Linked DNA regions of Cricetulus griseus. The protein of the gene in region 1 binds, or shares a complex with, the protein of each later gene. Links are inferred from orthologs where the notes say so. Each region holds a gene or a part of one and is shown in the gene's direction. Other genes may lie near its edges.

What was found.
Region 2: Med19 (region 1) and Med13l share a complex: the UniProt entries of both Homo sapiens proteins name them as parts of the mediator complex. The link is inferred for Cricetulus griseus from reciprocal best matches to the Homo sapiens genes MED19 and MED13L.
Region 3: Med19 (region 1) and Med23 share a complex: the UniProt entries of both Homo sapiens proteins name them as parts of the mediator complex. The link is inferred for Cricetulus griseus from reciprocal best matches to the Homo sapiens genes MED19 and MED23.
Region 4: Med19 (region 1) and Ccnc share a complex: the UniProt entries of both Homo sapiens proteins name them as parts of the mediator complex. The link is inferred for Cricetulus griseus from reciprocal best matches to the Homo sapiens genes MED19 and CCNC.
Region 5: Med19 (region 1) and mediator of RNA polymerase II transcription subunit 20 share a complex: the UniProt entries of both Homo sapiens proteins name them as parts of the mediator complex. The link is inferred for Cricetulus griseus from reciprocal best matches to the Homo sapiens genes MED19 and MED20.
Region 6: Med19 (region 1) and Med12 share a complex: the UniProt entries of both Homo sapiens proteins name them as parts of the mediator complex. The link is inferred for Cricetulus griseus from reciprocal best matches to the Homo sapiens genes MED19 and MED12.
Region 7: Med19 (region 1) and Med24 share a complex: the UniProt entries of both Homo sapiens proteins name them as parts of the mediator complex. The link is inferred for Cricetulus griseus from reciprocal best matches to the Homo sapiens genes MED19 and MED24.

What each region holds. Positions count from the first base shown.
Region 1 is NC_048599.1:90,852,325-90,856,521, reverse strand, and holds the start of Med19 (mediator of RNA polymerase II transcription subunit 19), read left to right. Parts: upstream 1-1,397; 5' UTR 1,398-1,485; coding exon 1,486-1,702; intron 1,703-4,197. UniProt on the Homo sapiens protein: Component of the Mediator complex, a coactivator involved in the regulated transcription of nearly all RNA polymerase II-dependent genes.
Region 2 is NC_048597.1:98,444,271-98,448,404, forward strand, and holds the start of Med13l (mediator of RNA polymerase II transcription subunit 13-like), read left to right. Parts: upstream 1-1,334; coding exon 1,335-1,406; intron 1,407-4,134. UniProt on the Homo sapiens protein: Component of the Mediator complex, a coactivator involved in the regulated transcription of nearly all RNA polymerase II-dependent genes.
Region 3 is NC_048595.1:244,070,302-244,073,801, forward strand, and holds part of Med23 (mediator of RNA polymerase II transcription subunit 23), read left to right. Parts: intron 1-695; coding exon 696-838; intron 839-2,302; coding exon 2,303-2,477; intron 2,478-3,094; coding exon 3,095-3,258; intron 3,259-3,500. UniProt on the Homo sapiens protein: Required for transcriptional activation subsequent to the assembly of the pre-initiation complex. Component of the Mediator complex, a coactivator involved in the regulated transcription of nearly all RNA polymerase II-dependent genes.
Region 4 is NC_048595.1:119,710,543-119,714,042, reverse strand, and holds part of Ccnc (cyclin-C), read left to right. Parts: intron 1-592; coding exon 593-684; intron 685-1,607; coding exon 1,608-1,675; intron 1,676-3,500. UniProt on the Homo sapiens protein: Component of the Mediator complex, a coactivator involved in regulated gene transcription of nearly all RNA polymerase II-dependent genes.
Region 5 is NW_023276806.1:255,578,091-255,582,254, reverse strand, and holds the start of mediator of RNA polymerase II transcription subunit 20, read left to right. Parts: upstream 1-1,364; 5' UTR 1,365-1,499; coding exon 1,500-1,513; intron 1,514-3,488; coding exon 3,489-3,643; intron 3,644-4,164. Other genes in the region: bystin, read right to left, coding at 730-994. UniProt on the Homo sapiens protein: Component of the Mediator complex, a coactivator involved in the regulated transcription of nearly all RNA polymerase II-dependent genes.
Region 6 is NC_048604.1:68,969,516-68,973,015, reverse strand, and holds part of Med12 (mediator of RNA polymerase II transcription subunit 12), read left to right. Parts: intron 1-255; coding exon 256-485; intron 486-1,066; coding exon 1,067-1,147; intron 1,148-1,264; coding exon 1,265-1,435; intron 1,436-1,639; coding exon 1,640-1,784; intron 1,785-1,951; coding exon 1,952-2,002; intron 2,003-2,297; coding exon 2,298-2,416; intron 2,417-2,602; coding exon 2,603-2,746; intron 2,747-3,176; coding exon 3,177-3,340; intron 3,341-3,500. UniProt on the Homo sapiens protein: Component of the Mediator complex, a coactivator involved in the regulated transcription of nearly all RNA polymerase II-dependent genes.
Region 7 is NC_048600.1:111,788,178-111,791,862, reverse strand, and holds the end of Med24 (mediator of RNA polymerase II transcription subunit 24), read left to right. Parts: coding exon 1-203; intron 204-457; coding exon 458-639; intron 640-862; coding exon 863-953; intron 954-1,299; coding exon 1,300-1,399; intron 1,400-2,187; coding exon 2,188-2,268; intron 2,269-2,571; coding exon 2,572-2,837; 3' UTR 2,838-3,185; downstream 3,186-3,685. UniProt on the Homo sapiens protein: Component of the Mediator complex, a coactivator involved in the regulated transcription of nearly all RNA polymerase II-dependent genes.

The sequences.
Region 1 (4,197 bases):
CATACCCAAGGTTATAGTAATAACTTAAGTCTGGGTCACTGCAATTTTTTTTTTTTTTTAAGTTTTCTATGTATACAGTGTTCTGTCTGCATCTATCCCTGTGGGCCAGAAGAGGGCACCAGATCTCATTATAGATGGTTGTGAGCCATCATGTGGTTGCTGGAAATTGAACTCAGGACTTCTGGAAGAGCAGCTAGTGCTCTTAACCACTGAGCTATCTCTCCAGCCCCAGGATCACTGCTATTTTAACATAAATATTTAGATAGGGAAGGAATATTAGCTCTATGTTCCACAACCTTCACAGCAAATGTTAATTGTTCTGAAATTAGTGCTTCTAAAATGGTGAGAGGCTCCCCCCTCCTCATGTTTTTGTAATCTCTGTTTTTCTATCCTCCCTGAGGATGATAGTATGTGCAGTTACAGTGGCCAGGGTAGTCGTGCGGTTGCTTTTCCACCTAAGTAATTTTGTTGAGTTAGCGATCTAAGTCGGCCTATCAGAGGGTTTTGAACAAGATTAGATAGCACTTTGTGAACGCTGTGTGACCTTGGGAAAGTCGCCCAACAACACTGAGATCAATTTGCCAAATAAATAAATAAAATAGCTACACTGCGATCAATTTGTCAAATAAATGACTAAAAGTGGTGTTTCTACTACTGGCTTGCCTGCCTTCCTCGCCGGCGCTCCAGGAAGCTTGGCATCACTGCAGAACCCTGTTTATGTGTGGAGAAACCCTGGGATCTCTCTCTCCATCTTAAACAAGGAGGTTAAGACTAGCAGCGGATTTCCATTCAGTCTGTCAGATGGTTACATCCCCAAATCTCCCCCACACTTTCATATGCACCTGCAGGGGCAGGGATGGTCAACGAGAGCTGAGGCAGGGGGCGCTCACCCAGTCAAAGTCACACGGGTTACCATCTTCGCGCTGCGTGGGGAGACCGTTGCAAATCGGCGGCAGTTTCCTCACGAGGAGGAAAGCAGCGGAGAGCAGGGCAGACAGAAGGCAATAAGGTCGAGCCAGCCATCGAGAAAGCCGCGGCACCGAGTACACCAGAGCAATCAGAGGCGCGAGGACAGCCATCTTCCTTGCCGGTTCTCTCGCAGGCTCCGTTCGGCCCCCAGCCCTTCCCTCCGCTGCCCCCCACCAGCGAGGCTTCTATTGGGCCAAATATCAGATGCAACGCCTCCGGACCCGGATGTAGATCTCTTATTGGGTGCTATGATAGATGAGAAAATGAGTTAGACAGTCTATTGGTCCATAGAGTTGTCGCTCTTCTACCTGAGTCATTTTATTGGCTGTAAGACTGCGAACTACTTCCCAAACTGTCTCTTAGAGCGACGGAAGTAACTACAGGAAGGTGGTAGGCGGGGCCTAGTGTATCCAATGGCCGGAAGCTCTTCGAGGACGAGGGTGGTACCCTGGGAAAGTACTGGCCAATGAAAGTCATTAACGCCAGATCCCGGGTAATGCAGGAGCCGAGAGTGCTATGGAGAATTTCACCGCGCTGTTTGGAGCTCAGGCTGACCCCCCACCACCCCCAAGCGCCCTAGGTTTCGGGCCTGGAAAGCCGCCCCCGCCACCTCCGCCTCCTCCGGGAGGTGGCCCAGGCACGGCCCCGCCCCCGACGGCGACCTCGGCCCCTGCGGGCGCAGACAAGTCGGCTGCTGGAAGCGGCCCCTTCTACCTTATGCGGGAATTGCCCGGTGAGTAGTGGGGTCAAAAGCAGCCAATCAGGTACTGATTAGGTGACGGGTGTGGCTTTCAGCCTGCTGTGCGAGGCGTGAAGCAACGGGCGACGCGTGGCCAGCGGGCAACTCAAGTGTCAGAAGCTCTTGGGCGATTCATAACCCTAAGAGAGAGCTTGATTTCATGGGATGGGTTTGGGGTGGGTGTGACTATCTGGGACTACTGGCGAAAAGTTCTGTGATCCGGTTCTCTGACCGCCGTTTGTGACTCTATAAAAACGTGAGCCATTGTTTGGAACTCGGGAGACCTGATTTAACAATTTTGGAGACGCTAAGACTTTAAAGTCTGTTAGGTGTATAGTAAGTAGCCATCCTTGTCAGGGACTCGGAGATTGACATGTTCAAAGAAAATATTAAAATTGAATTAATTCTTTCATTTATACAATTATTTGGAAATTGGGGGCGCATGGCTCAGTGGTAGGACTCTTACCTGCCATGCATGAGTTTTCACAGGTCTTCTCTGAGTAGATAGCATTCAAGAGTAAATAAAGTTATCGGTGGATAGAAAAGAGATACCTATAGATACGAGAGACTTGATCGATCAGGAGGCGGGGGGTGGGGGGGAAGCTTAGAATATCTAAGGGGTCGAAGACAGATTGGACTCCAGTAAAACAAACAAATCCAGTAGTGATGGGAGATAGGCAAAGACCTTTATAAGGCAATGTAGAGTGTTTAAATTTCAAATTGAAGCCATTTCAACATGGGTGCAAAATGATCTAATTTATTGATTTTCAAATATTCAGCAGCAACATGAGGAATGAAAGTAAGATAATCGGATGTTACCAGCCATTGTTCAGGAAAGAAATAATAGTTTGGACTAAATCTTAGCTGTAGAGAAGTGAATGGATAAAGGATACATGTTAGAGGCAGAGCCTACAGAAATAAATATAAAAAGAGAGAATTGGGGGTGTCTTCTACAGAGGGTATGATAGTCTGAGAGTAAGAAGTTGTGGAAAGAAAAAGTTTGAAGGCCTAAAAATCAAGAGGTGTTAGTCTTAGGGATTTGTGGTACTACACACCAGCACTTAGGAGGTGAAGGCAGGAAGATCTGGATTAAAGCTCAGCCTAGGTGACGAGATCCTGCTTCAAAAAAGGTCCTCAGTTCATTCCAGTAACTATTAGCAAAATAATTTCAATTTCATATCAGTGTGTAACAATATGTAATACTTATAGCCCTTTTAGATAAGTATTGTCTGTGTTTTATAATTGAGAAACTGAAGCATAAAGAAATTGACTGTACTTTAGTGATAGGTGTCTTCCAACAGTTTTCTTTATTTTAGTTGTTTTGATTTTGAGACAGGGTCTCACTGTGTAGCTCTGGCTTGCCTGGAATTCACCGTAGATCTGACGGATCTCAAACTCACAGAGATACACCTGTCTCTGCCTCCAAGTGTGTGCCACCATGCCCAGCTTTCTTTATCTTTTGCATTACCTGTTCTAATTGTACTTGTTTGTGTAAATCAGTTGACAAATAGTGATTTCTGTTCTAGGCAAATGCTGGATATGTGGGAATGGAGGGAGGGATGGTGTGAGAAGTGGAGATTAGTAAGCCTGGTTTTTAGGTAGCTTTTTTTTTTTTTTTTTGAGATTCAAAATACATGGTTTAAGGGCTATGCTTGTATTTTTTGTTGGTGTCAATCTTATTACTTTGTAGTCTTGCTTCAGATATCTTAGGGAAAATATTAAGAACTACTTGATGGTTTTCAGAATGTTGTTAGCCAAAATGACAGCAAGAATAAGCTGTCAGCCGGGCAGAGGTAGTGCATGCCTCTAATCCCAGTACTTGGGAGGCAGAGACGGACAGGTTGTGGGTTCGAGGCCAGCCTGGTCTACAGCATGAGCTCCAGGACAGCCAGGGCTGTTACACGAAGAGCCTTGTCTCGGAAAAAAAAACTAAAAACAAAGAAAAGAAAAGAAAAACAATTTGAATGGAAGAGTAGTATAGTGGTTGATTAGGCCCCAAAGCTAAGTTGGCATAAAAGTATGAGTAGAAAGACTGGGGATGTGGCTCAGTTGGTAGAGTACATGCTTAGTAAGCATGAAGTCCTCAGAAAGGGCCAGGAGAACTGGAGAGATGGCTCCAAAGTTATGAGGTTAAGGGCACTTGGTTCTTTCAGAGGACTCCAGCTTGGTACCCAGAACCTACATGAGAGCCTCACAATTACCCCTAACTCCAGCTCCAGGGAACCCAACACCCTCTACTGGGCTCCACAAGCAATCAAATAATATGTGGAATGCATTCACACATCACAACACATATACACACAAATGAGGTAAAATTAAATCTTTCAGGCTGAGTTCACACCTTCAGTCCCAGAACTCTGGAGGCAGAGACAGGTGATCTTTGAGTTCAAGGCCAACTTGGTCTATATAGGGAGCTTCAAGGCATCCAACGAGAGAGGAACAGACAGAGAGACTGTCTAAAAATTTTTTAAATAAATCATTTTTAAAAA
Region 2 (4,134 bases), on another chromosome or scaffold:
CAGAGATCCGCCCGCCTCTGCCTCTGAGTGCTGGGGTAAGAGGCCGCGTCCCACTAATTCTACCTCTTTTCAAGCCAAAGTTCCCCCTCCCTGTATTTTGGGGCCGAAAACTGGTGAGTTGGTTGGAAGATAGTGTCCAGTATCAGCACTTCTCTCATTACTCTGAAGAAGGAATGCTGATTATTGGACCCTTGGAGCCTGAGGAAGGGCCTGCTCCCCACACAGCACATTGTGAATGTGGCACATAGCAAGAGCGCTGGGGACATTTATGCAAGGAATGCCTGCACGCACGCAGAGTGGGCGCAAAATGCTCCGGAAACATGCGTGCTTTAGGAGCTCAGCGCTCGGTAGGCAGCGAACCCCGAGCCCTGGCTTCGTAGTGCCAGGGTTCGAATCCCGCGTCCTCGGGCAAGCGCCTCGCTGCCTTTGTGTCTCTGAGTCCCACTCCTCCGCCCGGTGAGCAGCGGCCGGCGGGCGTGAGGTTTCGAGGACACTCCTCGGTACGGTCCGACAGGCCGGCCCAGCCCGGCCCACGCCGCGCCCCAGGCCCGAGCAGCTACCAGGGCTCCGGAGGCCGTGCCGAGAAGCCGCGGCCTCCTCGGCCGGCGACAGACGCGCGCCCGCGCCCAGGGCGGGGCGTCCACGCAGCCCCGCCGTCCCACGGCCGCCCGCACCTCTTTCTCTCTCTCCCTCCCTCCCTCCCTCTCTCGCTCGCTGGTCCCCGCTCCGAGAGGGCCGCGCTCGGCTCAGCAGCGCTCCCGCGAGCCGCACCGCCGCCGCCGCCGCCGCCGCCGCGGCCCCTCCCCGCCCCCCGCGCGGCCGGCGCCCGTCACGTGACGCGCCGCAGCCAATGGCGGGCCGAGCCGCGGTCGGCGGCCGCCATTGCTGTCAGAGCGAGCGAGCCCGGGAGGGAGGAGAAGCGCGGCCGACTGGGGAGGAGGGGGGGGTGGGGAGGAAGAGGAAGGAGGGGACGGCGCTCGCTGCCGGGGTCGCCCGCTGGCTTCGTCCGCACCCCCCCCTTCGCGGGCTCGCGCGGCAGCGGCGGCGGCGGCTCGGGGCGGCTGCGGGGCTCGCGTGCCTCACGCGCCGGCGCGGCGAGGGCGAGTCGCCCGCCGGCTGGAGATAAACAAGGCGGCCGACGAGGCGGCGAGGCGGAGGCGGAGGCGGCGGCCCTGCGCGACAGAGGCGGGCGCGTTGCCGCGCCGCGCCCCCCGCCGCCGCCGCCGCCGCCCTCGGGCTCCGCGCGCGGCCTCGCGCCCCGGTGCCCGCGAGCCGCCGCCCGGCCCGGCCCGCTCCGACATGCCCCGCTCTGGCGGCCGGGCTCGCGGAGGACCATGACCGCCGCGGCGAACTGGGTGGCGAACGGGGCGAGCCTGGAGGATTGTCACTCCAACCTCTTCTCGCTGGTGAGTGGCGGGGCGGGGGCCCGGGTGGGGGGCGCGACCTCCCCGCCGCGCAACTTTCTCCTCCCGGAGCCCCGGCGGCGTCGGCGAGCGCGGCGCCCGGCGTGGACGTACGTGTGGAAGTCGGGGCGCTGCGGACGCCGGGGCGCGCTCGGAGCGCCCACCTCCGTGGCAATCACACCCCCCTTCCTCTCCCCTTCCCCCTCTTTTTTCTTTTCTTTTCTTTTCTTTCTTTCTCTCTTCCTCTCCCTCCCTCTCTCTCTCTCTTTTTAACTCCTTCCCGAAATGTGGAAGGCTTAGAATTCTGCCTTGTGCAGCCGCCGGCGCCTGCGATCTGCAGGCTCGTCCTCTCTCCGGATCGGATCGGCCGCTCTCCCGCGTCTGCCTTCTGAATTTTCTTTTTTTAAATTCCACAATGACACCTGCGATTTCGACCGAAAACAGTTGATGGAAGGCGATTGTGTCAGGGAAAGGACTCTGGCAGCGGAAGCTCGCACGGTTGTAAACACGGACAGCCGCCAGCCTCTCGGGGCTTACTATGCTGGAGAGCGGGAGAGCCATTGCTCAGAGCCCACGGAAGGTGGAGGAAGCTCCTGCTCCTCGGCTCTCCTCCGCTGCCTTTAAAAACTGTTTTTTCTGCCCTAACAAGGAAAACACACACACACACACACACACACACACACACACACACACACACACACACGAGAGAGAGAGAGAGAGAGAGAGAGAGAGAGAGAGAGAGAGAGAGAGAGAGAGAGGAGAGCAACAAGCTGGGCGGTTTGATAACATCGCTTTTATCTGCCTTTGCCTCTCCTCTCTCCCGCTTTCGCCTCTCTGATAATTGACAACTTTTGCTTTGGAAGTGCATCGCCTGCCTTAATCTCGAAGCATTTAGGGTGTCAATTGTTCTCCTGGAAGCCTGGCACCCGACGAGGGCGGCTCGATTCATCGAAATTAAAAATGTATAGGGCTCCAGCAACTCTTTCCTGGCGGTGGCAGTGACATTTGGTGGTAAATGCCATCTTTGCTTTTTATTGGGTCGTATTACCTCGCTCTGAAAACATTCGCGTTGTTAAACCTGGTGCTTAGACTGATAATGGGAGTGCGTGGTCTTTAAATACGCGCTTTGTGCCTGAGTTACTGTATGTGGAGCTATGTGCCCGGGAGAGTACGAATTTGTTTAAATATTGAGCAAAGATTTGTAAACAGATGTAAGGCAATTATGTTTCAAGCGTAGAATATAATTGGAAAATTGGTTGAACGGCTTATTTAATTTAGCCTTAAAAACTCAACTTATTTTAAGTTGTGTGCCCAGTATTTGTTTTGGGGGGGGCTGGGGTACGCTCCCTTTTGGAGAGCATGCATTTATTGCAAATTATTTTCTGTAACCCCTGCTGTAGATAGGAGCTTTATTTCCTCTCAGTCCTTGTTTACACTGGATAAATAATTTAGTGTTGAAATTGTAATTAGTTACATTTAATTATGGGTGGCATAGATGCTTTTTCTCCCCTTGGAGACTAGTGGAGAAATACGAATTCTTGCCAACTTAGGAAGTGTCATTTTATTTTCATGCAGATAAAGAAATCAAGCATGATTTTGGCCTACAAAGACCTAGTGACATAGTACTCCTGCTTGCAGTCCTGTAACAGTGTAACAGCAGGCTGATTTCTTCTTACTCTGAATTGAGACTCAGTTAGAAGTTGGGGTTCTTCCTTCACCGCTGTGGTAATTTACCCCTTGATCTTTTGATGTGAGGATAAAACTACTTTTGCCCCCCCCCTTCCTCTGTCTGTCATTTAGTATTAGGTTCAGGAACCTTCATAGATCAGCAAATGTATTGATTAAGGGGTATTTAAAATGGTTTTGTTTGGCGGCTGGGTGACCACATTGACATACTTACAGGTAATTAAAATAACCAAGTCAACCCATATTAGTTTGGGAGAGCTCCCAAATTACCATACATCATGCTGACTAATAATGGCTTGTGTGCATGTGGCTAATTTATAGACAATGAATTGTGTGGACAAATGAAAGACTGTTGGTGCACAGCTGAACTGTGAGGTCATTCCTTATCTCTTGAGCTTCAAGGGGGTGATAGTGTAGAGATGAGATGTTTGAAATTCCTTGTTGAAGATTCTGGACTTTGATTTTTACTGGCCTAAGGATGCATTCTGGGTATTTCTCCCCTAAACATCTTTAAACCAAAGAGTTGACTTTTGAATATAATTTAAAGTATAATTAACTTTTTGGGTAATCCCTTTGAAATGCAGACATGCTTAGATTGGTTTAAAAATATAGAATGTTTATATTTCATGGTACCTAGGGATGTATAAATGCTGTTTAATTGTTCAAAATGGCTTATTTATTTTTATTTTATGTGCATTGATAGATGTTTTGCCTGCATGTATGTCTCTGTGAGGGTGTCAGATTCTTTGGAATTGGAATTACAGATGGTTGTAAGCTGCCATGTGGTTGCTGTGAATTGAACCCCGGTCCTCTGGAAATGCAGCTAGTGCTTTTAACTCTATCTAAAATTTATTTGAAGAAAAAAAAATCAAACTTCAGTCTTTTCTTCTGATTCCAAATTGAGAATTTTTCCTGAAGATCATATACAGACAGCAGCAATCTATCATGTTAAGAATACATTGCCCTAACAACATAGTTGATTCCAAAGGGTTGGCAGTGATCACCTTTTCAAAGTCATGTGTATGTCTGAAGAACTATAGGTACT
Region 3 (3,500 bases), on another chromosome or scaffold:
ATGGGTAGTAAAATGCTGCCTAGTCTAGGTTTTCAAAATGTTTTTTTGTTTGCTTTGTTTTGTTTTGTTTTTTGAGAAGGACTAGGCAATCCAGAAATGTCTTTTCTCTCAGTTTTCGAGTATTGGTGCAAACCTAAGACAATACTATATAGGCCAAAGAAAACATGTCTGTATGGCAGCTCTACAAAAGCCGTGCTTTTTTCTCTCATATGATAAACATTGTAAAAGACCATATGTTGTAGTACTTGTGCATGTGACAAATTGGAGCGAAGCCCTGCTAGAATCAAGCACTTGGGTCTTTGCAATAATTTATTAAATAATTTGGTGATAAATGTTTTATTATTCCTCAGCAATGCTTAGTTGCCTATTTGAGAGGAGAAACAGACTAAAGGTGCCCAAGCATGCTCTTAGGTCTTGTATGGAGAGGTTGCTCTTCCAGAGAAGAGGGATCCCTCTGCATTTTGAACCAACTACACCCCTAGCCCTAAAGCACCAGAGAAACCATAGTTCATTTCCAGTAGTTCAGGCCATCATTACCAAGTGTCCAGCACAGCTTAGACATGTTAAGTGAGCTAAGTCCATTGGAACCATTTCATTTCAGATTTATAAGTTTATTTATAAATTGTTGATGACTAGAATGCCCTGTGTTTATGTAGACACATTTTTTTTTATTTTGTGCTTTTTTTCCTCTTCAGCCTTATACACAGCATTGCAACCAGAGTGATAAAACTTGCTCATGCAAAATCCAGTGTCGCCTTAGCCCCAGCTCTGGTGGAGACTTACAGTCGCTTACTGGTCTACATGGAAATAGAGTCTTTGGGCATCAAAGGATTTATCAGTAAGACAAGCTTCACTGCTGTTTCTGATGACTAACATGTTCATTAATTTAAGGAGTACTCTTTAGGTGCTCTCAGAGGATGCAGCAGGCATGAGGCCCACTGCTGAGGACAGACAGGGGACAGGGAGTAAAGCAAGCAACTGAGAGAGATGCACTGTGACAGACAGTGTGTGATAGAGAAGAAAGCAAAATGTGCGACAGGAGAGCTTCTTAATGTCTGTGGGGAAAGAAGCTTGTTTGGAAGTAGCATGGCAGGAAAACGACAGTAAGCTAGGTGCTCAGGTGGGCTGCTCAGCTTAACGTCCTCTCCCATGCAAATGAATTCTTAGAGGCCGAAGTGCTGGGTGAGGCTAGTGCTAAGGCTGGCTGGCAGTAGAGAAGGACTTTCGGACACTGCAGAAGACAGTGCTAGCTAGTGGTTAGCAGTTCTACATAATAGGTGCTCTCTAACTGGAAACATCTTTGTGATTCATTTCACCAATAGCCTGAATTTTAACCATAGTCACTCTTTTTCTCTTAGATGTGAATCCACCTTTCTTTGGATGGAAGAAAGAATGAACAAGGAAAGACGTTAGCTTTTTTGTTCTGGTTTGCTTTTTGGCTTTTTTTGAGACAGTATCTCCTACATAGTCCAGTACAAGCTGGCGTCTCACTTTTTATGTTGGTGAACCTGGCTCCGAACTCTTGATTCTTGCCTCTACCTCCCAAGTGCTAGGATTAAAGGTAGCTGCTACCACACCTTGCCTTTTTTTTTTTTTTAATTAAAAATTGAATCTGGCTAGGTAGTGGTGGCACATACATCCTGCCAGCACTTGGGAGGCAGAGGTAGGTGCATCTCTGAGTTCAAGGTCAGCCTGGTCTACATAGTGAGTTCTAGGACAGTCAGAGGTACACAGAGAAACCCTGTCTCAAAAACAAAAAAAACAAAAAAACAAAAGTGACTGTTATAATTGTGCTAATTGCAATGGTGTACACCTGTAGTCTCTGCTGAGGAGGTTAAAGCAGGAAAATTACTTGAGTGTAAGAGTTCACTGCCAGCCTAGGTAATGGAACCCTTGGGTTTAATTTCCAGCACTATAAAAAAGAGAGAAAGGAATGTCTCTCATACTCAAAATTCATAAATCTTGACTATGGAAATATTGTAAAAGATAACTGAGAAGCAAGGCAAGTTGGCAGTTTGATGGGCTTTTATTCTTTTGTTTGGTTTTGTTTTTTGTGTGTGGTTGCTTTCATTTAATTTTCCCATCTTAACTTGAGCCTGACTTATCAAACTCTAGAAAGGAAAGATAAATTCAATGTGTATGTAGGCTCTGATTTTTTCACCCCTACAAGTAGAACTGTGTATGTACTTGCGTGTATATGTTATTATAGTTACATTTTTGTATATATCCTGAGTGTGATATTCTTCAAATATCCAAGTTTGTCCCTTTTAGTAACTGGTGCCTGGAATTCTTCTTTCTCCAGGTCAGCTCTTGCCTACTGTCTTCAAGTCGAACGCCTGGGGCATTCTGCACACCCTTCTGGAGATGTTCAGCTACCGCATGCACCACATTCAGCCTCATTACAGGGTGCAGCTCCTCAGCCATCTCCACACGCTGGCTGCAGTTGCACAAACCAACCAGAACCAGCTCCATCTGTGGTGAGTGCTACAGACTGCCCTTCCTCGGGTTTGGTACGCTTGTGCTTTCAAGTGGGGGACTTAATCCCCCACCCTCTTTTTTTTCTTATTTGTTGTAAAATTAAAATTCTGTTTCTAAGATACTATAATTCTAACACAGTAGTGGAATCCAAGTTTTTAATAGAAGTTGTATTTAAATACACTTCAAGTCATGGTTAAAGTGTCATTTTAATTTTGATATAAATGAAAATATGTTTCAGATGGGGGAGGTAACACAGGGTCTTGTGTATTGTAAGGTGACCTTGAATTCATTTTTGTAGCCAAGGCAAGATTTAAATTCCTGATCCTCCTGCCAGTGCTTCCTAAATGCTGACCTTGCAAGTGTGTGCTACTTACCCAGTAAAAATACAATTACTGACGTGTTGTTTGTCTCGGAGGGTTTTCATCTAGTCTATAAGCTCTTTCTTGTCGCATGTGTAAAAGGTCAGCTACTTCTGATTGTAAAATTTAGCATCAAACAGGGAGGTTTTTTTATGTCAAAGAAAGGTAATGTATAATCTTTGTGTCCTTTCAGTTTAATAATTCTACAATTGGATCTAACTGCATAAATGTGAACTGTGCTTTCTTGCTGCTTTCAGTGTGGAGAGCACTGCGCTGAGGCTCATCACAGCTCTAGGGAGCTCGGAGGTCCAACCGCAGTTCACACGTTTCCTCAGTGATCCCAAAACGGTGCTGTCAGCAGAATCTGAAGAACTGAACCGAGCCTTGATCCTCACCTTAGCCAGAGCAACTCATGTCACAGGTAGAGACCATGATCCTGACCTTAGCCAGGGCAACCATGTCACAGGTAGAGACTGTGAGAGCCACATTAGCAGATGAAGTGTCTTGCTCCTCTCAGGCCACAGTGGCAGACTGTACTCAGGAGGTGCCCGTTCTGCCATCTCCATATGATCAGTTAATAATGGAAGCTCAGGGCACCACCATTCTAACTAAGGGTTTTGTTTCATAACTGCTTTCAAACTAATTTGAAATTCCCAAAGATTT
Region 4 (3,500 bases), on another chromosome or scaffold:
GAATTGTTCTGAAGGGAGATAAATTTTAAATTTATCTAAATGATATGTGATGGCAAAATCATAGAACTATAGTAGCATTATCACCTATTTTTCCTTCTGATGCCTGTAAAATAATTTGTATATCTTACTTGGGCTCTGGAAATTTTTTAAAATTTTATTATAGCTATAATCAGGATTACAAGCAAATAAGCCAGGAAGTTAAACCACTGCAAACTGTGTGCAATTTGTGTGTGCGTGCACACACACAGAACTAAAGACAGATTATGTCTTTGGCAGAATTCTGCTCCTCCGTTGGGACTATGGCTTTATAGTCTAGTGAGAGGTGTCAGTGTGTTGCAGGTGTGACACTTTGAGTCTCTGAGGGCAAGAGTGGATGTTGACTGGCTGCCTACTGATTTACCAAGGTATATTCCAGAGAGAGCATTTCCTTCACTATCACAGTAGCTCAGGTCATATGTGAGCAAAAGAATAAGAAGGAAGAAGCAAGTATGAGATAGAGAAATTAATTTTAAATACAATTAGTTGGAAATGGTATTGTTTTATGTTGTAATAAATCTGCTCTTATACATATATGTTTTTAAACTGTTTCTAGGATTGTTGCTTGATAGTGTATCATCCTTATAGACCTTTGCTCCAGTATGTGCAGGACATGGGCCAAGAAGACGTGTTGCTTCCCCTTGCATGGTAACTAGAACAGAAGTTACTCATATGAAACCTGTTGCTAGACAGGAGGGTTGACAACTAAATATGTGGTTTAGTATTTTAAAGTGCCCCAAGATATTTTATATTCAGCAAATATTTGCTTGTTAAATTTTAATTACTAGGCTGTGTGGTGGTGGCGCACACCTTTAATCCCAGCACTCGGGAGGCAGAGGCAGGAAGATCTCTATGAGTTAGAGACCAACCTGGTCTACAAGAGCTAGTTCCAGGACAGCCTCCAAAGCCACCAAGAAACCCTGTCTCGAAAAAACAAAAAGTAAAAAACAAAAAAATTTTAATAACTATAGTGGTATAAGGTTATAAAGTCATATATATCTTGAATTACCTGTTTGATAAGTATATCTGTTAATGTTTCATATGAAAAATAAGACCTCACATGAAAATTAACAATGAATTTATTCTTACAAAGACAGAGTTTCTCTGTAGCTTTGGAGGCTGGCCTGGAACTCACTGTGGAGACCAGACTGGCCTCGAACTCCCAGAGATCCACCAGCCTCTGCCTCCCGAGTGCTGGGATTAAAGGCGTGCACCACCACCACCCAGAATTTATTCTTAAAATAGTACTTTTTGATTGGATTCAATACAAATCCATTTCAAATAATGGCTTCTTAATTTTATTTTTTATTTTTCAAAAATATGAAAAATTTATTTTATATAATTTGTTGTGAGGTACCAACATCAAAAATATGCTCACTGATACATGAATCTTTGTTGTCACATTCAGGCATCCATTGTTTGGCCTCTGTGTTTTCATCTTTATGACTCTTCTCGGTAGTAGAACAGGGATGTAAATGCACAAAGATGGAAATCTGGCTCTCTCTGGGAGAAGTTACATGGTCAATGAAGTAGTTGTGCTGTTAGTAATGATAAGATTTACATTTCCACAGGAGAATAGTGAATGATACCTACAGGACGGATCTTTGTCTGCTGTATCCTCCTTTCATGATAGCTTTAGGTATGTAAATTTGGAGTGCCTTTATTGGTTAAACTGTTTTTGCCTATTTAGGTCATCCTAAAATACATTTCGCCTGATTGTAATTTATGTTTTTATCAAGTGGTAGACTAATCCTTGAATGTGAGCTTTCAGTAATAAGTACTATTAACAGATTAGCATTGCTGATCCTTAGTCCCTTTTTTTGATAATTTTCCCCCTATACATTGCTAATCCTCAGTCCCTTTTTTGATAGTTTTCCCCCCTTAATTCATTTAAAACATTTTAATCAGTACCTAAACATCATTTTTGTTTGCTTAAAGGGGAAAATTTGGGTGTAAATCTGCTGATATTAGTTGTCTTAAGTAACTGGTTCTGACTTCCATTTCCGGATCCAGTAAAACCTCAAGAGCTTAAGAAGCACCTGTGCTGCTGTCACTAGAAGTTAGCTGGCATCCCATGGGGTGGAGAAGGCACGCAGGGATGGGCTAGAGTTAAGCAGACCAAATTGAGACATTGCTTTCTGTACAGTTGTAGAAACAATTATGTAATTTTTCTGAGCTTATAAAGTTGTGGGATGGATAATAATTTCATAAAGAATTGTTTCAAGAGTTAAGTGAAACAACCTATAGAGCACCAAATGTCTGTTACATCCTAGGCACTTCATAGTTCCTGCTCCTTTTTTCTTCTCCTGTTGATTTTTCTGGCTCCTTTCTTAGTAGTAAGAGTAGTACAGGTCTGGGCTGGAGAGATGGCTCAGAGGTTAAGAGCACCAACTGCTCTTCCAACCATCCCTTATAAGGTGCCCTCTTCTGATGTGCAGATATACATGGAAGCAGAATGTTGTATACTCTTAAATAAATAAAACCTTTAAAAAAAAAAAAAACAAAAAACGAGTAGTACAGGTCACACATGGGCTGAACTGAATACTTCTGCAGCACTGGTGACTCTTGTGAAGCACTGGACTTGGTGGTATTTTGAATTAGCAAAAATTATTTTATCTATTTATTTATTTTGATTTTTTGAGACAGGGTTTCTCTGTGTAACAGCCCTGGCTGTCCTGGAATTCGATTTTTTTTTTTTTTTAAGATTTATTTATTTATCATATATATAGTGCAGGCCAGAAGAGGGCACCAGATCCCATTACAGATGGTTGTGAGCCACCATGTGGTTGCTGGGAATTAAACTCAGGACCTCTGGTAAGAACAGTCAGTGCTCTTAACCCCTGAGCCATCTCTCCAGCCCAGAATTCGATTTGTAGACCAGGCTGACCTTGAACTCACAGAGATCCGCCTGCCTCTGCTGGGATTAAAGGCATTTGCAACTACCACCCAGCAAGATTTATTTATTTTATGGATAGGAGTGCTTTATCTGCATGTTACTGTGTGCCAGAAGAGGGCATCAGATCCCACTATAGATGGTTGTGAGCCACCATGTCATTGCTGGGAACTGAACTCAGGACCCTGGAAGAGCAGCCAGTGCTCTTAACCTCTGAGCCACCTCTCCAGCCTACAAGACCATCTTAAAAGCTTGTCTAACCAAACGTGACTGTATTGCAAAGGTCAAAAATGCTTAAGTGAAATTTAGCTTTTTAAAATTTAGGTTATATCCCTTAAGGATGGGTTCCATTAATTGAGAGCTAAAGATATAGGTCTAGGGAGGGAAAGTCTGGGATAGACATCCTGGGTTATTTGGGTGAGGTCTGCCTCTATAGATAGCAAAAGGTCAACAGGTTGTTAATAATATCCACCCCTACTTTCTGGATGGAAAGCAGGTATTTTATTTCCTCCTTTGAGGAGACAACCCCTGCATGATTAACATTGCTGATTTCCCCCGAAATCTGCCTTGA
Region 5 (4,164 bases), on another chromosome or scaffold:
ATGTTTTTTATATCTTAGTCGGCAGGGCACAAAACTGGGGTGCCTGGCCTGTTGAATTAATGGCGGGTTTGTTGTTGTTGTTTTGAATAGGAATATATTCATTTTCTTTTACTGTCTCGATCGATAGAGGTATACCATGTATATCAGGCTGATCTGGACCTTACTATGTAGTCCACGAGGGCCTTCTTCTGCCTCAGCTTCTCACCTGCTGGGATTACAGGCGAGCACCGCTGCTCATTGCTGGAATATGTTACTCTATTTAATATTCTCTGCCTTGGGGTAGACTTCCGGTGCTAAAAGCAAGGACGAGTACATTGTTTATTTCGGTATCAGAACTGCCTAAACTCTTTTTTATTGGGGGGGGGGGTTTCAAGACAGTGTTTCTCTGTGGATCGAACTCACAGAGATCAGCCTGCCTCTGCCTCCCGAGTGCTGGGACTAAATGTGTGTGCCACCACCGCCCGGCTTAGAACTGCCTGAACTCTTAACACAGTTCAAAGCATTGCACAGGAAACACAGTCATACTTCACAAGCCCAGAGAATAAATACTGGAACTTGGTGTGAGTGATTACTTCCTGTTGGAACTCTGAGGTAGGTTCCAGAAGGTACGCGTTGAAGTGAAGGACCACGCGGGAAGGAAAAACTGCCTCCTCTTTGTAATTCCAAACCCGTATCCGGATGGACTGAGCTAGTCCGGCCCATGCCACCACTCCAGCCCGTGTCACTCACCCAGCCGCGTGGCGCGTTCCCGTGGCTTTGCAGGCTGGTCTGCAGTCCCGTGTTCAGTCTCGAGCTCCTCCTGCTGTTGCCTGGCTTGCTGCAAAATGCGTCTGCTCAGCCGGGGTCCAACATACTCTTCCTCCTCTTCAACCCCGCGTCCCCGCCGCTTGTCTCGGGTCCCCGCGCGCACTGCATTCCCAGCCAGAATCTGCTCGGCCAGAGGTGCATGCTTCTCCTGATTCCGGGCCCCGCGGGCCACCTTCAATTTGGGCATTTTTCTCGAAAAACTTGCCGATGCTACTCACACGTGGGAAGCCGGTTTAAAACTAGGACTGTGTCTGCGCCCTGTGTTCCGGTGCTCGGGAGGTCACCGAGAGTTCACAGCGCCCCCCAGCGTTCGGAGGCCGGAAGTGCCTCATATACCGCCATCTCTCCAGGAGCTCCGGGGCGGGAGCTGGACTCCCCAGATTCTCAGGTAATCTCATTGTACGGAAGTGGGTGGATGTCCCAAGTCACCTTTTCCAGACAGAATTCATGAATGTAGCCTGAGAGGTCCTGTCAAAGCAAAGCGCGCCCTGGGGGCGGAGCCGGGCTGATGACGGAATTCGTTCATCGCTGGAGCGCCCGGGCACGCCTCCCTTCTGTGGGTGTACCGCTCTGGCGCTCAGATTTTGCGTATTTCCGGAGCCTGCATCCTGCTTTAGGCGGCTCTACCTCCAGGGGCCTCTGGATCCCTTGACTTCGAGTGTTTGGCAGTGCCACCCCTTTGACCCTGCGCCATGGGAGTGACTTGGTAGGACTGCAGGGGCTCTTGTGGGACGGAGCTTGGGGTCGTGAAGGCCCCAGGAGGGGGATCGGGACGGAAGCTCTCGGTTCCTCGCGGGCTGACAAAGATGTCCTCGGGTCGTGTTGCAGCAAGGGACGCCGTGTGGTGCTTCTTCCTTCCCAGGCGCATCCTTTTGGCAAAGCCAACTCTTCATTCCAGGAACCTGTCAGGAGTCGTACCTTCTTTTTCTTGGTACTTCTTCATGTCCGTCAGGCCATAGTATTGTCGCCAATAGGACCTAAAAGTTGGGAATAGGCTTTCGCACTAAGAATTATTTGCAGGCAGCGATAAAAAAGAGGGGGGCGCTCTAGGAGAAAGTGACTTTTACATTTTGCTTGCAGTAATAATAGCCTGGCTTTAATTTGGTCTAATGTCAGAGGGAGAGGAAAAGGAGCTGTTGGAGGTTTGGAGGTCGGGGTTCCAGGCACATTAACTATCCAAGAATCACTTCCTACATGTTTGAGTCAGGTTTGGGTTTTTTTTTGTTTTTTATCTGAAACGTGTTTTAAATCTCACTTGGAAAAAGAGAGGTGATTGGTAATGTCTGGACACCGTGCTTTTCTTCAGGGCATTAATTCCAAAGTACTAGGCTTCAGCACGTTAAAAAAAATCTTGGTAGTGGTGTGTGTCTTCCCAGCTGTTCTGTATAATGTGTGTGTGGGATGTTCTTCAGGAAACCCAGGCTCTTGCAGGGTTTTTAGTGACTACTATACGTGCAAATTAGTTGACACCAGGAGCCTTATCTCAACCTCATCACACCGTAAAAAGTACCTGTCAGCAGTGAAAATAGAAATCACAGCAGAGTCACTGGGCCCTATAAAACATTTCTGTATATGTTTTTATGGGCTGTCGATCACCTGCCTCTGACTCCTGCATCCTGGGATCACAGGAGTGCTCCACCAATGCCTGCCTGCCTAGGGTTCATTATACAGAGAAAAGGTTTCCCTTCCTACTAGTATCGGTTCAACTCTCTCAAAATCACAGAGTTTCTGTCACAGTGTCAGTTTAGTGACTCTTCTGTTTTATGTATTGCTCACTGGTCCTTGAAACGACTATTGTCTCTTTTTCTAGGCGTATACACTCGAGGGATGCGTTCTCTTTGTTCTTAGTGCCTTTAAATGGAACTCTGTGATAGTGGGAAAGTTCTGTCCACAATGTCCAGAATATTATCCACCAGCCTCCTGGGGCTCTATACCTGACAAAAGCAGCTTATGATAGGGTTTATTTTGGCTCACTAGTTGAGTTTAAATAGAATGAGGTGGCTGGTCACATTATGTCCATAGTCAAGAGGTAGGTAGGGGTGTGTGGGGGTGTGTGTGTTTGGGTGTGTGTGCGCGTGCGCGAGAGCACGTGTGGTGTCCTACTCAGCTGATTTATCCACACCTTAGTTAAATAAGAATCTCACAGACAGGGTCAGGAGTTTGTTTAAGAAATAGGTCTCAGCCAAGTATACCCCTATAATTCCAGCACCTGGGAGGCCGAGACAGAAGGATTGCTAAAAGAGTGAGATCAGCTCAGGCTAATTCAGTGAACTCCAGATCATCTTCGGCGGCATTGTAAGACCCTATCTCCAAGCTTCTAGGTCCTGTCATGTTGGCACGTAAACCATCAATCACATCCACTGTACAACTCAGTGACACTGAATGTGTGCAGTGTGTGCTACCTAGAATCAACACTTAATGTTGGTATTTGTACCTTACTTGGGAATGCTGATGTGGTAGAAAGTTCCATGTCCCTGTGTGAGACACTTGAGACCTGTGTTCTGCCTGTTAAAGGAACTCTTGGACTGTGGGCCTCTTCCTTTCTCAGTTTAAGGGGCAGGATCAGAGTTAGTGTTATCTAAAGTAACTCCTAGTCCTGTTGATCTGGTAACTATTTGGGAATGAGTGGCTCAGCCAGAGCATGTTTGTCTCTGGACACTGCTGACTGTTCTGTTTCTCAGTGTGTCCCAGATGCCTGTGGCTGAGGGCAAGAGTGTCCAGCAGACGGTGGAGCTCCTCACCAGGAAATTGGAGATGCTTGGGGCAGAGAAACAAGGAACATTTTGTGTGGACTGTGAGACTTACCACACAGCTGCCTCCACCCTGGGCAGCCAAGGTCAGTAGATGACTGCGAGCAGATGTTTGGACCCGGCTTGGAGTCCTACAATTATTCATAGTCATTGGCATCTATTTGTGGTGGTCAGATTGCAGTTTGAGCTACTTGTTTAATTAAAATTTTTTAATTGTGTGTGTGTGTGTGTGTGTGTGTGTGTGTGTGTGTGTGTGTGTGTGTGGATATGCGCACTAGTGCTCCTGTGTGTGGATATGTGCACCTGAGTTCAGGTGCCTTTAGAGGCCCGTGGTGTCAGATCCCCTGGAGTTAGCCTTACAGGTGGGTATGGGTACTGGGAACTGAACTTGGGTTCAAGGCCAGCCTGGGCTAGAGAGTGAGAACCTTTCTTGGGAAACAAAAATTGTCTAGCACAACCAGAAGTGCTTTCTTTATTAAAGAATAGTGTTGGGGCTGAGGTGATAGCTCATCAGTTGAGAGCACTGACTGTTCTTCTAGAGGACCAGGTTTGATTCTCAGTACCTACATGGCAGCTCACAACCTTTTAAACTCCAGTCTTAGGGGAA
Region 6 (3,500 bases), on another chromosome or scaffold:
TGGGTGCTAGGAATCAAACCCTCTGGAAAAACAGCCCTCTGGAAGAGCAGCCAGGGAATGTTCTTAATTGCTGAGGCATTTTCCCAGACCTACCAACCACCCGTTATCAGGGTTTTCTTTTGTTGTTCTTCCTGTTATTGCCTCAGGGGTGTCTGTCTCTGCCTGGTCTAAGAGCGCCATTACTGAGATGTGTCCCTATCTCTTTTGTCCGTCTTGTGTTCTGCTAACTTATCTCTCCTCATTCCCTCTTTCTAGCTGATCCCCGCAGTGAGAGTGAACGAGTGGAATTCTTTAATCTAGTACTGCTGTTCTGTGAACTGATCCGACACGATGTTTTCTCGCACAACATGTACACCTGCACTCTCATCTCTCGGGGAGATCTTGCTTTTGGAGCCCCTGGTCCTCGGCCTCCCTCTCCCTTTGATGATCCTGCGGATGACCCAGAGCGCAAGGAGACTGAAGGCAGCAGCAGTAGCAAGCTAGAGGTGTGTGTCCTTTTCATTGCTCTTAATTATTACTTTTGACGTTCCCATTTTTACAGCTTCTAGAAGCCTCTGAGCATCTCTTGTACCCAAGAATAATGGTATTTTCTCAGAACTTCATGATTTATAGAATAGTCTCATGTCAGTTTTTCACTTAATCTTCAGAAAAGGCTTGTGAGGTACTTCTCCTGCTTTCCATTTAAAGGTGATGGAAACTGAGGCTTTGCCTACTGGTTAAGTAAATGAACAAGGTTTGAATCCATAACTTGGGCTTTCCTCATGCCCCCTTGATCCAGTTGTTTTTTTTTTTTTTTTTGGTGTTTTTTTTTTTTTTTTTTTTTTTTTTTTTGGTTTTTCGAGACAGGGTTTCTCTGTGTAGCTTTGGAGCCTATCCTGGCACTCGCTCTGGAGACCAGGCTGGCCTCCAACTCACAGAGATCTGCCTGTCTCTGCCTCCCGAGTGCTGGGATTAAAGGTGTGCGCCACCAACGCCTGGCCTTGATCCAGTTCTTAATGAACTTTCCTGGACAGTGAGGAAGCACTTCCAGGACCAAGGCAGCTCTTGATTTGTTGTGTGCCTGCAGGATCCAGGGCTCTCTGAATCTATGGACATAGACCCTAGTTCCAGTGTGCTTTTTGAAGACATGGAGAAGCCCGATTTCTCAGTAAGATCCCAAGCATGGAAGAATCCAGCACCTTGGTTCTCCCCTTATGCCTCCTTTTGGAATTTCTTTATGCCTCCTTTTGCTTCTCCTGAATGTTCTGCCCTTTCACCCTCTTAGTTGTTCTCCCCTACTATGCCTTGTGAGGGGAAGGGAAGCCCATCCCCTGAGAAACCAGATGTCGAAAAGGAAGTGAAACCCCCACCCAAAGAGAAGATGGAGGGGACACTTGGGGTTCTTTATGACCAGCCACGACATGTGCAGTATGCCACACACTTTCCAATCCCACAGGTACTGTTGTCCAACATTTGTGATAGTCTGCTTTGAGCCCAGATTTCCATCCAAGGAGTTTGCTGAGGGGCTAGACCAGTTCCCCAGGGTGTGGGTGTGTTTGAGAAGGGGCTTGAACGTGGGAGCTTTGAGAGATACAAAGCATGCTCTTAAGAGGAGGGCAGGAGACCCATGATGGAATCTGATGGTGCTGCCGGGATGCAGGAGGAGTCATGCAGCCATGAGTGCAACCAGCGGTTGGTCGTACTGTTTGGGGTGGGGAAGCAGCGAGATGATGCCCGCCATGCCATCAAGAAGATTACCAAGGATATCCTGAAGGTTCTGAACCGCAAGGGAACAGCAGAAACTGGTGGGTTTGAGTCTCCTTAAACAGAAGTCTCCCCAAAGAATGCCCTAGTCAGTCTTCCCATGCCCAGTGTAGGGCACTCCCCAGTCATGTCCCAATGTCCTGTCTCTTGGAGTCTCCTGAGAGCTCTAGTCCTTTTGAAACTTCCCCCTCATTCCCCCCCTCTACAGACCAGCTTGCTCCTATTGTGCCTCTGAATCCTGGAGACCTGACATTCTTAGGTACCTCACAGTAAGCCCCTTACTGCCCTCCCCCTACCCCCTTAACCTAGCGCCTCCCTGTACACATTCCTCAGAGGTCCACATAGTCTGTGGCCCTTTAAACCTGTGCTTCATTGTCCCGTTTATCCCTACCCAAGCCCTTCCTTGACCACCCTTCCCTTCTCTTCTCCTTCCCTCCTTCCCTTTTCCCCTCCTCCCTCCCTACCATAGTCCGTTCGCCACACCCCTACCCCAGCCCCTAGTCAACTGGTTTTCTTTCATTGTCCTGACTCATTGCTTTCAACTGTCCGCTCAGGTGGGGAAGATGGGCAGAAGCGACGCCGCAACCGGCCGGAAGCCTTCCCCACTGCTGAAGATATTTTTGCTAAGTTCCAGCACCTTTCTCATTATGACCAACACCAGGTCACGGCTCAGGTGTGGGCCTAAGCCAGCCCCCTTCCCATTCTGGCCTCTTTTCCTCTTTTCCTTTTTGTTTTATCTTCCCCCCCCCTACTAAACAGGCTAAGCCTGCTGGTCTCATCCCCTTCCACCATCACCCTTTCCTGCTTCCCTAGGTCTTCTTTCCTTCCATTCCTGTCTCACTCCTACTGCCCTTATCAGGTCTCCCGGAATGTTCTGGAGCAGATCACGAGCTTTGCCCTTGGCATGTCATACCACTTGCCTCTGGTGCAGCATGTGCAGTTCATCTTCGACCTCATGGAATATTCACTGAGCATCAGTGGCCTCATCGACTTTGCCATTCAGGTGGGGAAGTTGGGCCAGATAAGGGCGGAAGAAGGAATTCATGCTCTATAGGGTCATGAAGAGGAGTAGAGGCTCCAGCCAGTTTCCTAGGCTATTTGGATGGCTGAAAGACTAGCACAGTGGGAGTGGAACATGATCTAAGACTGCTGGAATAGAGGTTTAAGTGCTCCCTGGGGAGGCCCAAGAGACAGATTAGAGCTTTGGGTACAGACCATCCTCCCCCTGTGGAGTTTATAGCATGCTGTCCTGGAGACTGCTTAGAGATACTGCTAGTAGAGTGCGACACTGGTACATGGTAACCTGACCCTTCTGTGCTGAAGTGGCTGCAGCAGGAAGGAGCTCAGGCTTGGCCATGTCAAGTTCCTTCCAGAAAGTGGGGTTATGGCCAATGAAAGGGGCCTCTTATGTTTCACCTCCATGTCTCTGATAGTTGCTGAATGAGCTGAGCGTGGTTGAGGCCGAGCTCCTTCTCAAATCTTCTGATCTGGTGGGCAGCTACACAACCAGCCTATGCTTATGTATCGTGGCTGTCCTGCGACACTATCATGCCTGCCTCATCCTCAACCAGGACCAGATGGCACAAGTGTTTGAGGGGTAAGCAGGGTTCTGGTAAATGCCAGTTGTTAATGGCCTAGGAAGGATCGTTATACATGGGTCCACACAGTGGGGCAGAGTCTGCTGCTAAGGTATGGGTAGGAATAGCTGTACCAAGACACTTGAATTTATTTCCAGGGCTTTTGTGCCCTGGGCCATG
Region 7 (3,685 bases), on another chromosome or scaffold:
CACAGATCAAGTTTCCATCCACGGGCGTGGACACAATGCCCTACTGGAACCTGCTTCCTCCCAAGCGCCCCATCAAGGAGGTACTGACAGACATCTTTGCCAAGGTGCTGGAGAGGGGCTGGGTGGACAGCCGCTCCATCCATATCCTAGACACCCTGCTGCGCATGGGCGGCGTCTACTGGTTCTGCAACAACCTGATTAAGGTACTGGGGCCAGGGTGGATGTGGACAGCTATGTAGATTGGGGCCATGGGTGTCCTCAGTTGGGGTAGGCCAGGCTTCTTTGGGAGGTTGCTGGAAGCTGGGTGGTCTCCGGGGGAGACAGAGGTAGGGACCTCACCTCAGAGAAGCACCTTCGGTTGGAGTTGGATAGCACCTTTGACTGTAGAGTGGCTGGAGCATGAGAGCCCTAGGGCCCAGGTGTGCAGTGCCTTAGCCGCTGCTTGCCCACTGCCCAGGAGCTGCTGAAGGAGACTCGCAAGGAACACACACTGAGGGCAGTACAGCTACTCTACTCCATCTTCTGCCTGGACTTGCCGCAGGTGACCCTGGTCTTGCTGGGCCACATCCTGCCCGGTCTGCTTACTGACTCCTCCAAGTGGCACAGCCTCATGGACCCTCCTGGCACTGCACTAGCCAAGTAGGATTCTCTCCAGAGCCTTCCTGGTGTCTGCTCCCCTTGAGTCCCAAGAATCTACCACCCAGATTCAGGCACCCCAGCCCTGGTGCCAGCTCAGGAAGCCAGGCTGTGGTTGGGGGGCCCGCTGAGTGGTGGTGGGTGGGAGGGGCTTGTTCAGCATGAGCACACATAGCCTCTTTTGGGACTCTCTTAACTATTCTTTTTTCTTGGAACCCTTCACCAGACTAGCTGTGTGGTGCGCCCTGAGTTCTTATTCCTCTCAAAAGGGACAGGCAGCTTCCCGCCACAAGAAGAGACACAGGGAAGACATTGAGGTAGGTCTGCCACCGCCTTGGTTGTGTGTTTATTCATGAGATGCTTCCTGATCACTTAGAGCAGAGAGCTGCCTTCCCAGGGTGGGGGTGGGGTTGAGGTCCCCTGTGTGTGGGCCTTTTTGATTGGTCAGGGTCTGGGGGAGTGGCTTGAGTGGCCCCTGAGTATCCTTGATGAGGGTCCTTTCTGCCCACTAGGGCAGAGATTGGAGTGTGGGAAGGGCCACCACTGGGGATGCTGGCCAGGGACTAGGAAACTCACTCCTCTCCACTCAGATCTCACCTCCAGCCCTCTCCAGTCCTTGGAGACTTGGGAGGTTGGGTGTGTGACAGTGACTCCTGCCCCCAGGACTATATCAGCCTCTTCCCCGTGGAAGACATGCAGCCTTCGAAGCTGATGCGACTCCTGAGCACCAATGAGGATGATGCCAACATTCTGTCGAGTCCCAGTGAGCACTTGGGAGGTCACGGGCTTGCTAGGACCATTTGTCCCTAAGGACCTGCCTTGGCTCCCAGCTGATGGCTGTCAGCCAGTGTGGTGTGGCAGCAGCTTCCACGTCTGTCCCTAGTGGATGCTCTGCTGCCTGCTGGTGGGGACCTGAAGTTCTCCTCCAGGGGCCCTCCCAGTCCCACAGTTATCCCTCTCTTGTCACCAGTTGAAAGATGACAAGACACCCAGTGAGTTCACTACCTTGGTACAGCTTGTACCATTCACTCACTCACTCTGCCATCCTTCTAACCCAGAGACATGCCCTGTGGCTGAGAACAGGCCCTGTCAGGTTGCGACCTGGGGCTGCACTCCTGCCTTCCTATCCAGAGGGCAGCCCATGTCATCCTTTCCTTCTGCCAAAAGTTTTTTTGTGTGGCATCCAAGTTTCCTGTTTCCAGAGATCTCTTCTGAGCCTAGAAGTTTTCTCTGTAGCCTTATAAGGGACCAGGCCACAGCCACAGCCTTGTGTGAAAGAAAGCTGCTGGCAGACCACCTCTGACCTTAGCCAGGCTCTAAGCAAACAGATTGTACGTCTGTAAAATGGGCTTTGAGTGGGACAGGTGGCTTCAGCCACACAGAGTGCCAGGGTTAGCCTCGGTTGGTGCGCAGAGGCTTGTTCCCACTCATCTACTCTCCAGATTCAGGCTCTTCTGTGCCCCGTACGTGCCAGACTCCCCTGATGGCAGGGGACAGGTAAGGCTCCCCTAGAGTCAGAGCTTACGCAGCACCCTCTCTGCCACTCCACAGCTGACCGTTCCATGAACAGCTCCCTCTCGGCTTCCCAACTCCACACAGTCAACATGAGGGACCCTCTGAACAGAGTCCTGGGTGAGTCCTCCCAGCCGTGCCTACCTGCAGACTGAGCTACACGGGCCCCTCCTCGTCAGAGGCAGGGCCACGCCTGCCAGAGGGATCCTCTGGGCCCTGACATCCTGTTCCGCTTCCATGTGCTGTCCTGTTCCCTTACCACCGCTAACAGCCTCCCTTTACTCCATCCCCCATCCCCCGCCCCACCTTCCCTCCCTGGCCTTCCTATGTGAGCTCTCACTGCCTCTTCCTTTCCCTCCTCGGTCCCCTTCTTTCTCGTCTGACTTGTTCTAGAGCTCTGCTGTCTTGTTCCCTTCTGCACAGCCAACCTGTTCCTGCTCATTTCCTCCATCCTGGGCTCCCGCACCGCCGGCCCCCACACCCAGTTTGTGCAGTGGTTCATGGAGGAGTGTGTCGACTGCCTGGAGCAGGACAGCAGGGGCAGCATTCTGCAGTTCATGCCCTTTGCCACTGTGTCGGAACTAGTAAAGGTGTCTGCCATGTCCAGCCCCAAGGTAGTGCTGGCCATCACAGACCTCACCCTGCCCCTCGGTCGGCAAGTGGCTGCCAAAGCCATCGCTGCACTCTGAGGAGCTTGGAGTAGCCTGGACGGGGTCCCAGCCCCAGCATCCCAGCAGGGGGAGTGAGGATGAGCCCAGGCTGCCCCATCCAGTGGTGCAAGGATGCTTCTCCAGTCTGAGGCCCTCACCCACTCCTGCCCTCTACTTACTATGCCTGTTCCTTCTGTGGTTTTCTGTCCTTTCCACCAGTACCCAAAGACTGCGAGTGGTCCCGATGGTTGCCCCAATTCTTGCAGTAGCTGAACTCCAAGGAGGGACTTTATAGGGCCACAGTGTATATATAAGTTTATTTTTATAACTCAGGAGGGGGAGTCCCTCTTGCTTTGTTTGTAAATAAAGATCCTTGTAGCTATTGAATGCTGTTGGTAGCTTTGCTGGATGACTGGGGACAGTATCTTTTCCCTGCAAGTCTCTTGTGCTGTGGCCAGGGAAGGGCACAGTCCTGTGGTGGGGGAGGAGGTGTGGAAGGCCAGGCTCGTTTTTCACAGGCCCCCACTGAAAGTGGAAAGGTCTGTGAAAGCCCTGTACTGTGCTGTGCAGGGCAGGATGGCTTGCTCTTTAGTCACACTCCACCCTCTGGCCCAGAGTTCACTGTGTGTTCCAGAAGATTGTTGGAGGGATGAGGATGAGGACTCTGTTCTCCACACTCTACAGGTCCAGGGACATGGATCTGTGAGGCTGTGGGAAGGGAAATTGTCAAGGGGGCTTTGAGAAGCCAGTGGTATGGAGGGCTGTGGAGGACGGTGCCTAGGTTGGCCTGGTTGGGCAGCTCTGACCCACAGGGAGCCTGCAGCTGACTTTCAACTGCAAGTGCTCTTCATGGCCACATCCCACCCTTGCAGACATCTTCAGCTCAG